2 linked regions of the Schizosaccharomyces pombe genome follow. Changing the gene in region 1 together with any one later gene gives a genetic interaction. Each region holds a gene or a part of one and is shown in the gene's direction. Other genes may lie near its edges.

Region 1 (6,689 bases):
AAAAGCAGCACGATCACGAACCTCGTCATCAGCATCTTCCAAACACCTTGTGAGAATAACCTTAACACTCCGTTGGACAAATTTATCTTCCGCATTCAATCCAAATTTGGTCAAAGCGCTAACGGCAGCGGAACGTACGATGGCATTCTCAAGCATAATCCGATTGTAAATATAGCGGATAAATCTCGTTGGTTCTGAGGCTTTAGGACCTTCTTCGCCGAGAATAGATAAAATCCGTACCGCAATCTTAGGATATTCACAATCCTCTATAAATTCACATAACTCGGCAAGGGCTCGTTCTTTAGATTCCGGAATGTATTTAATCATGTCAGAAATAGCATCAACGGCAGCACGTTTAAATTCATAACCACCTTCATCGCAAAGTATATTACTAAGAAAGGTAAGCATTGAATCTTGCTTGCGAGGAAATTTTAGACATAAAGAACGAATGGCATCAACGACGATAATTTTGAAATTATCTGAAATATCGGACATAAAGGTAACAATCTGTTTCATCAAACGGTCGACAGACTCATCATTACCAGTCTTTAGAAGTGTTGTGATAGCGTAGGTGGCAATGGAGCGATTCACGTCGGTAATTAAAGACTCGATATTAAGATTGCAGGAATGTACTAAGTGTGGACGTGTCATGGCTAACTCGTTAAGCGTACGAATAGCTGAAAATCGGGTAGCGGATCGGTGAGACGACAAGAAAATTTTAAGAACGCTAACCACAGGTTGCAAGTCATCATCTGAGATATTTTTGAGACGGACCATATTTCTAGCAACTTCTAAGTTTACCATGTCTCCTTTACTTTTTAACCACCCATGTAGAAATGGAACCATCTGGTCTCTAAATTGAGTGTTTTGATCCATTAGACTAGAAATGTAGCGGATAAGCATAACAAATGCATGAGAATTTGAGACTGTTCCTAAATTGCTTACAAGCAGCTGCAATAACTTATTCATTGCAATCGAATCATGTCTTCGAATACGGTACAGAAGACCTAAAGCATGATATTGAGAAATGCCGCTGGCATTTGGTGTGTAACCCAAGGTAGAGGTGAAAAAAGGAGAGCTAGCAACTTTTCTACCAACATTATGAGATGTGACCGCGTCTTGAACCTCGTTGTTCCAACGCGATACAATGTCTTTCGCAACAGGATATAAATGATATGCGGAAACAAGAGCAGCGCTGGCAACAGCTGATATGGGGTCAACAATACCCGTAGTTAAAATGCGTTCAATCGCAGGGACAGTGTTAGCATCAATGACACGAATCAAAGAGCGAATAGCATTAGGACGGTATATAGTTTCACGTCCCGTAGCGGTGTCTTTCATGATACTACTGGTAATCATAATCACATCTTCAGCAACAACGGAAAGCTCCTTGATAATAATATAAACAAATTGGCGAAGACTAGGGTCTTTGTGTTGGAAAAGTTTAGTAATACCAAAAAAGAGTTCTGTAGCTTGCTTTTCCTGGAAATGCTCTCCCGTATATATCAAGTAGGCGATTTTGCTAAGAAGACGTCTACTCTTTCTAGGGCTTATGGAAGATGAATTAAAAGCCCTAGCATCTTGAGTTACTGTGACTTGATTGACATTGGCAAATATCGATTCGTCTATTGTTAAAAGGTCAGCTCATAATTCCAAACAATCAACATACCACCATCATCATCTTTTTTAGAATAACTCATCTTCTTTACAAAAGTCTCTTGTATTTAGCAGAAATACAGATATAGAGAACTAAATGAACGTACTGGATGTATGTAGTAGATAAATAATTAGCTAGTAGGAGGTTTCGATTATTACCAAAGTATAACGTGTTGTGTATTTTATATTTCTTAAGTGGATTACTGAAGTATTTTACGAGCGTTAAACAGTATAACGAAATATGCCCATAAAACACTGCAAAAGTTCGTAACTTACATGGTTTAATTGCTTTGACATTTCTCCTATATCACTTGCGTAATTCGTATATACATACAGAGTCATCTTAATTTTCTCTTATTTTTTTTTGTTTTGTTAATTAAGTTTCCCTTGAGTTCCTGATTTACCGACCTTTTGTACATAGGGAAGAGTTCTTGAAATGTTGTATTTGATTTTGAGCTATGCGACATGAATGATAGAATTAGTGAAGTATCTGGTAGCTCAAGGGCTCGTAGATCAGTCTTAAGCTATGGAACAACCGAGACCGGAAGCGATAGATACACAGAGAACAGCAACATTGCTACAGAGAATGGTGTCGATACAGCGAGTTCAATGATAGATGGGATACAGTCCGGATTCCCGCAACCTAGACATGGTTTTGAAGAAGAGTACAACAATGCTGAATATATAAACATGTTAGAGCAGGTCTTTTACATGTATTACACTGATAAACGGCATCGGGGGGTGATCAGCAAAAAGAATGCCGAACCTACTGAAACAATTCATGATTGGAGAATGCGCGAACGGCTTAAAACTGTTTCTGCAGCATTGTTAGTTTGCTTAAACATAGGGGTGGATCCTCCTGATGTTATAAAGCCTAATCCTGCAGCGAAATATGAATGTTGGATTGATCCGTTTTCATTACCTGCTTCTAAAGCACTTGAAGCCATTGGCAAGAACTTGCAGCAACAATATGAAACATTAAGTATGAGAACAAGATATAGGCATTACCTTGATCCCGCAATTGAAGAAGTCAAAAAACTTTGCATTGGTCAAAGACGAAACGCTAAAGAGGAACGGATCCTTTTTCATTATAATGGTCATGGTGTCCCAATGCCTACTGCCTCTGGTGAAATCTGGGTTTTCAATAAAAATTATACTCAATACATTCCTGTATCGCTTTATGACTTACAATCTTGGCTTGGAGCGCCTTGTATATATGTTTACGATTGTAGCGCAGCTGGGAATATCATAGTGAATTTTAATCGTTTTGCCGAGCAGAGAGACAAAGAAGCTCTCCGTATTGCTAAGCAAAATCCCAATGTGCTCGCTATGCCTTCTCATACTAGTTGTATTCAACTTGCTGCTTGTGGGCCTAAAGAAACCCTTCCGATGAACCCAGATCTGCCAGCTGATTTGTTTACTTCTTGCCTTACCTCCCCAATTGAAATTTCGGTTCGTTGGTATGTCTTGCAAAACCCGTTTCCTAATAAGCTTAATTTGAATATGCTTCTTAAAATTCCCGGTCGCTTGCAAGATCGGCGTACTCCATTAGGCGAATTAAACTGGATATTTACTGCTATTACAGATACGATTGCTTGGAATGTCTTTCCAAAGCATCTTTTCAGAAGATTATTTAGGCAAGATCTTATGGTAGCAGCACTGTTTCGTAACTTTCTATTAGCGGAACGTATAATGCTCGTTCATTCCTGTCATCCTCAGTCCAGTCCTGAACTCCCCCCTACCCACGATCATCCTATGTGGAATTCTTGGGATTTGGCCATTGATAATTGTCTATCTCAGTTACCTGATATGCTTGATGCTGAAAGCAAAGGCATAGCCTACGAGTACAAGCATTCGACATTTTTTAGTGAGCAATTAACTGCCTTTGAGGTATGGCTCTCTCAAGGACTAATTAGCAGAAAGCCACCGGATCAATTACCGCTAGTTTTGCAGGTATTACTTTCACAAGTTCATCGATTGCGTGCACTAATTCTTCTCTCAAAATTTCTGGATCTCGGGGTGTGGGCGGTAGATTTAGCGCTCTCTATTGGTATATTTCCTTACGTTTTGAAACTTCTCCAGTCTCCAGCTATTGAGTTAAAGCCTGTGTTGGTATTTATTTGGGCGAGAATCCTTGCTGTAGATGATTCTTGTCAAGCTGACTTACTAAAAGACAATGGCTATGGATATTTTGTCCAAATTTTGAACCCTAATTCTTCCATTTTTCCTTCAAGTAATATTTCCGAACACCGAGCAATGTGTGCGTTCATCCTCAGTGTTTTTTGTCGTGGGTTCCCACAAGGCCAGCTAGCTTGTTTAAACCCACAGGTTTTATCACATTGTCTTTCCCATTTAAATAGTCCCGACTCTTTATTAAGACAATGGGCTTGCCTATGTATTTCTCAGCTTTGGGAAAATTACTCTGAAGCTAAATGGTCTGGAACTCGTGATAATGCACATGTAAAATTAGCTGAAATCATCGTTGACTCCGTTCCTGAAGTTCGTGCATCAGTTTTAACAGCGTTTACCACTTTTTTGGGATTTCCTGAGAAGACCGAAGAAGTCGTTGCTGTTGAAACTTATATTGCAATTGCGGCGTTAGCAGCTCTTTCTGATGCGTCACCATTAGTTCGACATGAACTAGTGATATTCCTTTCTCACTTTGTAGTGAATTATAAGAAGCAATTAATGGTAGTTGCGTATGAGAGCAGTTTAGCAGATATCCTTGAGAAAAAGAACCACAATTCTATCAGTGCTTCGACAATTTACGAAACAGTTTGGCAAGCTGTTTTGGTTTTGGCTGCAGATCCAAGCATCGAAATTTCTCTTGCAGCTGAAGCCATAATAAATTACGTTTATCAGAGTATGCTAAATTCTGAATTAAGAGAATCATTTTTAGCATTTCTTCTGCAACACTTACCTGCTCTCCATAAAGCTTCTCTTTCCAAAGATACCGATACTAATTCAGTTACGAGCGACCCGAAGCCACATCCCTTCGTTCCTTCTGTTTCAGAAAACAAAATCTTGAACAGGTCATTCTCTCTGACTAGATCGTTGAAAGGCTTGGCTTTAAGCCTGGCAGGAAGTGATCGCGCTTCTGAATTACTTTCCTTAAATGGAGAAAACAAACCTGCAGAGTCTAATTTAAATCACTTAACTTCCGCCAAAGTTCCTGGTCCACCTGCATTTAATGAACTTGAATACCAATCCGAGCTAGACATGCCGCTTACAAGTTACTTATTTGATTGGTCTCGTAAGTATTTTACCGAACCCCAAATGCGGCCGAACGAAGACGATGAACCTGGAAGTATTTGCTATAATCAACGTTTGTGGAGAAGAAACAGAAACGAAAAACTTATTTATCGTACTCGTCCCCTTGCTGAATACTCAACCAACGGTCGTTGGAATCAACAACTTATGACATTTAATAATACTATCGCTCCTAGGAAGCTTATGTTTCACCAATTTGAAGATCAGTTAATTACATTAGGTGACAAAGATATCATTCAGGTATGGGACTGGCGTCGCAATCGTTGCCTCAATTCTTTCAAAACTTCAGCAAGTGCGACAACTAACGTGACCGACATGCAATTACTAAATGAAGATGATGTTGCTTTATTGATGACTGGGTCTTCTGATGGCACAATTAAACTGTATCGTGACTACGAAAATGAAAAGGTTGAACTGGTAACTTCGTGGAATTCTCTAAGTGATCTTGTCTTTGGAGATCGAAATGCTAGCCTTTTAATGAGTTGGCAACAGAACTGTGGGCACTTGCTTGTTGCTGGAGACGTACGCGTTATTCGAATATGGGATGCTTCTAAAGAAATCTGCTATGCAAACCTACCAGTAAGAAGCAGTAATAGTATTACAAGTTTAACTAGCGATTTGGTCGGTTGTAATATTATAGTTGCTGGATTTTCAGATGGAGTTCTTCGTGTTTACGACAAACGATTGCCTGCAAGAGATTCACTAACGGATGTTTGGAAAGAACATTCGTCCGAGATCGTCAATGTTGAAATGCAATCCTCCGGAATGCGAGAATTGATTTCGGCGAGTTCAGATGGTGAAGTTAAGCTATGGGATATTAGGATGAATCATTCTTTACAGACTTTTTCAACAGACAACTCTGGACTCACCTCTTTAACTGTGCATAGTCACGCCCCAGTTTATGCAACCGGTTCCTCAAATCAAAGCATAAAAATTTGGGACACGTTAGGCCAGAATATTAATACCTTCCGTGAAAATCCACGGTTCCTTAATCAGCCTAAACCATCCAGTTTAATGTGCCTGAAGTTTCACCCGCATCATTTATTACTTGCATGTGGTGATAACACAGATAGTAGAGTTAATCTATACTCTTGCACCAAAAACGAGATTCATACGGATTCGCCGAACGAGTTTTAAACCATGTTTTCCTATAGTTTTAACATAATTTATTATTGATTACTTTACCTGATTAGACTTTTCTTTCTATTAGCAACACTTAATTTGGTTATTATACATATTTTGCTAAACCTGCCACTTTGCTTAGTCTTCTCCTTTGCCGTGTAACTCTGCTATAGATATTTGTAAAACCAATTTTTAATATGGTTTTGAAGAAGTTTAAAAAATCACTAATTTACAATTAAGATATTACATTCATCGAAAAATTGAATCTTTTATATACATTTTATGAAAAAGCTAGTAATTATCAATGTTTTTTAATGTCAAGAAAAAAAAGCTTTTTTTAACTTAAAAAATAATTAATAATATACTAATATACCAATTTATTTATTTATTCACAATTTCATGTTTTCGCATTGTACTATTACTTTCTTATATTCGGGTCGTAAATTCTGATGCAGCTGAAGCTAACGAAAACTCTCCCATTCAGCGAAAATTTTATAATGGCAGATTCCGAAGAATACAAGACTGTCATTGGAATTTCTTTTGGAAATCAAAACAGTTCTATTGCTTTTAATAGGGTAAGAAAATTTTTTTACTTGGAGAAATGAGTAATCTCCTAGTTCATTCGCATAGACTTGCTTTAT
Region 2 (4,983 bases), 3.7 Mb from region 1:
TTTTGAGCAGTAGACGAATATGAACATTTCTTCTGCACAATTTATTCCTGGTGTTCACACAGTTGAAGAGATTGAGGCAGAAATTCACAAAAATTTACATATTTCAAAAAGTTGTAGCTACCAAAAGGTCCCTAATTCGCACAAGGAATTTACGAAGTTTTGCTATGAAGTGTATAATGAGATTAAAATTAGTGACAAAGAGTTTAAAGAAAAGAGAGCGGCATTAGATACACTTCGGCTATGCCTTAAACGAATATCCCCTGGTATGTTTGAATATAAATTTAGGACTGTCTCAATTATGTAGTTAACGAGAGTGGAGACTTTACCAAATATTGATAATGTCCAATTCTAATGATATGTGACTTAGATGCTGAATTGGTAGCCTTTGGAAGTTTGGAATCTGGTTTAGCACTTAAAAATTCGGATATGGATTTGTGCGTGCTTATGGATTCGCGCGTCCAAAGTGATACAATTGCGCTCCAATTCTATGAAGAGCTTATAGCTGAAGGTAAGTATAATTATTCATTAAAAGTTATTCAGTTTAGACAAACTATCTCTGAATATTGTTTTTTTCCTTTCCAGTTGGCTCGCATAACTAACTATCGACAGGATTTGAAGGAAAATTTTTACAAAGGGCAAGAATTCCCATTATCAAATTAACATCTGATACGAAAAATGGATTTGGGGCTTCGTTTCAATGTGATATTGGATTTAACAATCGTCTAGCTATTCATAATACGCTTTTACTTTCTTCATATACAAAATTAGATGCTCGCCTAAAACCCATGGTCCTTCTTGTTAAGCATTGGGCCAAACGGAAGCAAATCAACTCTCCTTACTTTGGAACTCTTTCCAGTTATGGTTACGTCCTAATGGTTCTTTACTATCTGATTCACGTTATCAAGCCTCCCGTCTTTCCTAATTTACTGTTGTCACCTTTGAAACAAGAAAAGATAGTTGATGGATTTGACGTTGGTTTTGACGATAAACTGGAAGATATCCCTCCTTCCCAAAATTATAGCTCATTGGGAAGTTTACTTCATGGCTTTTTTAGATTTTATGCTTATAAGTTCGAGCCACGGGAAAAGGTAGTAACTTTTCGTAGACCAGACGGTTACCTCACAAAGCAAGAGAAAGGATGGACTTCAGCTACTGAACACACTGGATCGGCTGATCAAATTATAAAAGACAGGTATATTCTTGCGATTGAAGATCCTTTCGAGATTTCACATAATGTGGGTAGGACAGTTAGCAGTTCTGGATTGTATCGGATTCGAGGGGAATTTATGGCCGCTTCAAGGTTGCTCAATTCTCGCTCATATCCTATCCCTTATGATTCATTATTTGAGGAGGCCCCAATTCCGCCTCGTCGCCAGAAAAAAACGGATGAACAATCTAACAAAAAATTGTTGAATGAAACCGATGGTGACAATTCTGAGTGATTTTACAAAGAAGTCTTAAAAAGCGCATCAATATTCATTCCCCTAGATTCATAGTAATCATTCATTATTACTCTGCTTTTATTTGCTTACTTTTGAAAGCATGGAATGTTTTTATTTTTCTTTAAAAATTTTGACCTCTTGTTTCTAATACCTTTCCCCCTTTGTTTTATGTACAACCTCTTGTTAATAGTCTACTTGTTGGTGAGAAAATAGGCTCATCATAGTTAACATCAATGTCCAAAAAATTTTCATAGATCTATAATTAATAATTATTTATTGCAAATGCTAAGCTATTGTTTATATCAATTTCTTTAAATTGAACGGAAATAACCAAATATTTTTTCGTTTAGCCTCGGTAATGTGCGTAAACACATATAAAGAGTTTATCTTTTTTTCTTAATTACTATAGCGTACAGAAATTATTTTAGCTTATCAAATTTTTTCGTAAAATTCATATTGTTTCCAAATTTGTAGACGCATTGCAGCATGCTAACCATCACATTTGAACTTTTACCAAACATTCAGCTGGGTCTATTTCCCTTCTGTTCGTTGGTACAATTCATTAGAACATAATAAATTTGGCATTTTTCTCAAGGTGGGTATTTAACTATATTTCGAGATTTTGATGCTTTAAGCAAAAATGAGGATAACGAAAAGTCCTCCTAAAAATCAATATTCTCAGCCACCTCCTAGGGTTGCTGAGTTTATTAGACAAGCTCAAAATGAAGAAGTAACTTCAGACTTGGGTCTTGTCTCTCTTTGTTCAGAATTCAGAAAAAACGATTGGCCATATCCTCGTGGCGATTTGTATTCATGGGTCCCAGTTTTGAATAGGTTTGATGCTATTCTGGAACGTATTGTTGAACATTATTCTTTAAAGGATAAAGTTCAGACAAAACCTTTTGATTCTGACACTTTGAGTATCTTGTTAGAGATCCTGAGCTTTTCGGCGCATCTGCTTAGTCATTGCGCGAATCGCTCCATATATAACTCTACTGTTTATCTAGAGTATTTATTAAATAGCTCTGTGCTCGAAGTTATAGATTCTACATTAGCCTTGCTTCTTCATATTGTACAAAAAGCAACGATTTCAAAGCGAGGAAAGCAGCTGTTTTCTCTTTCACAAGATCGGTTATTTCGCTTTTTAATGTTTCTTCCTCAAGATGCAATGAAAACCGGATTTTCACAAAATTACGAGACTTTGTTATTTTCAAATGAGATCCCGCAAGAATGGTGTTCTTTGGAGCTTTCTTATTATAAAAGCTCTCCATCAAAAGATTTTTCATCTGCAAGTCAACCAAATTCTGAAGGATTTTCGATTTTAAAATTACCATATAATAAAGTTCTTGGAAAGCCTATAGAAGAGCTTCTTGTGAAAACTTTGCACGATAATCAGATTCCTGAACAATATTCATTTGATCTCCTTGTTTCACTAATGTTACGTCAAAATCTTTATGATATAAATAGACGGCGCTTGATGATTCGTATCGGATTATTGGCTCTTTCTAATCTTGTTTATGCTCATTCTCAGGCAGTTCAAACAAGATTTTTAATCGCCGATCCGGAAATCACCACCCATTTAGCTAATTTGGTTTCTCCAGATGTGGATCTTCCTCAAAACTTTAAAGCTGTTTGTTTTGAATGTTTTAAAGCTTTCTTCTTTAAGAAGAGTATGATTCCATCTGTACTGGCATCTTTAAATGTATCTGTTAGTTACGGATTAATGATGAATCTCGTTCGTGATTTTTCTAAAAACTTAGAAAACCCGAATTTCTATTACGAGAGAGAATATGTTGATAGTTTTTATGACTTCCTTCAATTTATGACTTCATCGCCTCTTGGCGGTAACATGGCCTGTTCTGCAGGTCTCACTTCTCTTTTGGGTTATCATCTGTCTGTGAAGACTCCACAGGCTACTTATGTTGTAGCAAGATCGATTGTCATGTTGGACCATCTCATCGATGGTTACTCTATGGCATTCCCAGATTTTTCTGAGTCTAAAGGATTGGATATGCTGGTTGACCGTGTTCAATACGAGCTTGAGGCTGGACTTCAAGATATTAAATCTGGAAAAGGTAACCCAGAGATTGTTTTAAATATGGATTATGCCATTTCATATGACCGTTACTTCCTTCTAAAAAATTTACTCAAGTTTGTGTTACATCTAATTCAATCAGGTGGCTCTGTCGTTGAGCTTCGTAATTTAATTGATTCTTCTCTCATTTCATCCCTTGCTTTTCTGCTAGAGCACCATGAAGTCTATGGCTCCAACTTATTCGCATCTACTACTAATATAATGTCAACATTCATCCATAATGAGCCTACTTGCTATGGAATTATTCATGAAAAGAAATTGTCACATGCATTTTTGGATGCTGTCAATCGGAAAATACTCAATTCTTCTGATGCAATAACATCAATTCCTTTAGCTTTTGGTGCAATATGCTTGAACTCTCAAGGGTTTGATTTATTTTTAGAGAAAAATCCTATCCCACAACTTTTCTCAATATTCACATCGTTAAATCATTGTAAGTCACTTATATCAAGCGATAATGCTGCCATCCTTGGTACTTACATCGACGAACTTATGCGGCATCAACCCTCCCTTAAAGATCCAATTGTGAAGATGATATTTAAAGCCTGTGACCAGGTTTCCGCTCTTCTTGACAATTTCAATCCATTTCAATATATAAATGCCAAAGAATATCCTTATTTGTTGTATCTTGAAACATTTTCTAGTTTTCTTGAAAATATTATTACAAACGAAGGTCACGCAAGGTATTTAATATCCAAAGGGATTGTGTCGCACGTGCTCAATCTCATTCAACATCCCGTACTGGCTTTTGGATTTATAGACTCTTCTGCCTTCAACTCGTTTTTTGTTCTTTTACATCATGCAGTTGATTTTGATGCTCCAGAGGTCTTTCGGCCCTTGCTAGACTGTATAATTACTCGATGTGAAGAAGGCATTACTGAGTTTACTATAGTCTCACTGAAACAAGCCACGATTTCATTGATAAAGGACTCAAATATGGGCCACGAAGATGCAAATAATTTTCTACATTTCTCAATCGTTGGGAATTTGCTGACTATTTTCGCTGAGCTATTTTCTTCCCATGCTGCATTGAAAAAAGCTGGAAATCTTCCATTAGTTCAACTTTTTATTAGTCCTTCACGTTATGCTGGTATTTTTGATATTTTATGTAATATTAAAAGCATTGCAACATCATTGGACATACATATATGTTTAGGTGTTTCTGATGACTTTGTTCTTTGCAGTGACTCCTTGACTACCATCGTTACCGACAAAGATGAAAAAGAAAAGTTTGAGACAAAGAAAAAGGAATTAACACAAGATTCATCTTTTTGTAAATTTCAGAATATACGTTCGAATTTTTCTCAAATTGCTTATGGAGTATCTAAGTTTTTCACTTCATTAACTCGAGCTTTAGGAAATACAAGCGTACAAGATTTCAATGAATACAAAATGATTCATAAACTTGGTAGTAATATCGCTCTTGTTGTTGATGAACTTATTAAC

Evidence for each region. A genetic interaction does not mean that the proteins touch.
Region 2: of mip1 (region 1) and ptr1, a mutation in one rescues a mutant of the other (synthetic rescue), as found in Schizosaccharomyces pombe (one study listed by BioGRID).

Annotation. Positions count from the first base shown.
Region 1 is NC_003424.3:1,516,723-1,523,411, reverse strand, and holds mip1 (WD repeat-containing protein), read left to right. Parts: upstream 1-1,969; 5' UTR 1,970-2,121; coding exon 2,122-6,063; 3' UTR 6,064-6,189; downstream 6,190-6,689. Other genes in the region: coatomer gamma subunit Sec21, read right to left, coding at 1-1,625, 1,670-1,700; ssz1 (putative heat shock protein Pdr13), read left to right, coding at 6,546-6,623. UniProt on the Schizosaccharomyces pombe protein: Component of TORC1, which regulates multiple cellular processes to control cell growth in response to environmental signals. Tor2 is essential for growth. Nutrient limitation and environmental stress signals cause inactivation of TORC1.
Region 2 is NC_003424.3:5,206,694-5,211,676, forward strand, and holds the start of ptr1 (E3 ubiquitin-protein ligase), read left to right. Parts: upstream 1-1,946; 5' UTR 1,947-2,082; coding exon 2,083-4,983. Other genes in the region: terminal uridylyltransferase Cid1, read left to right, coding at 20-263, 368-508, 610-1,442. UniProt on the Schizosaccharomyces pombe protein: Probable ubiquitin ligase protein involved in mRNA export. E3 ubiquitin ligase proteins mediate ubiquitination and subsequent proteasomal degradation of target proteins.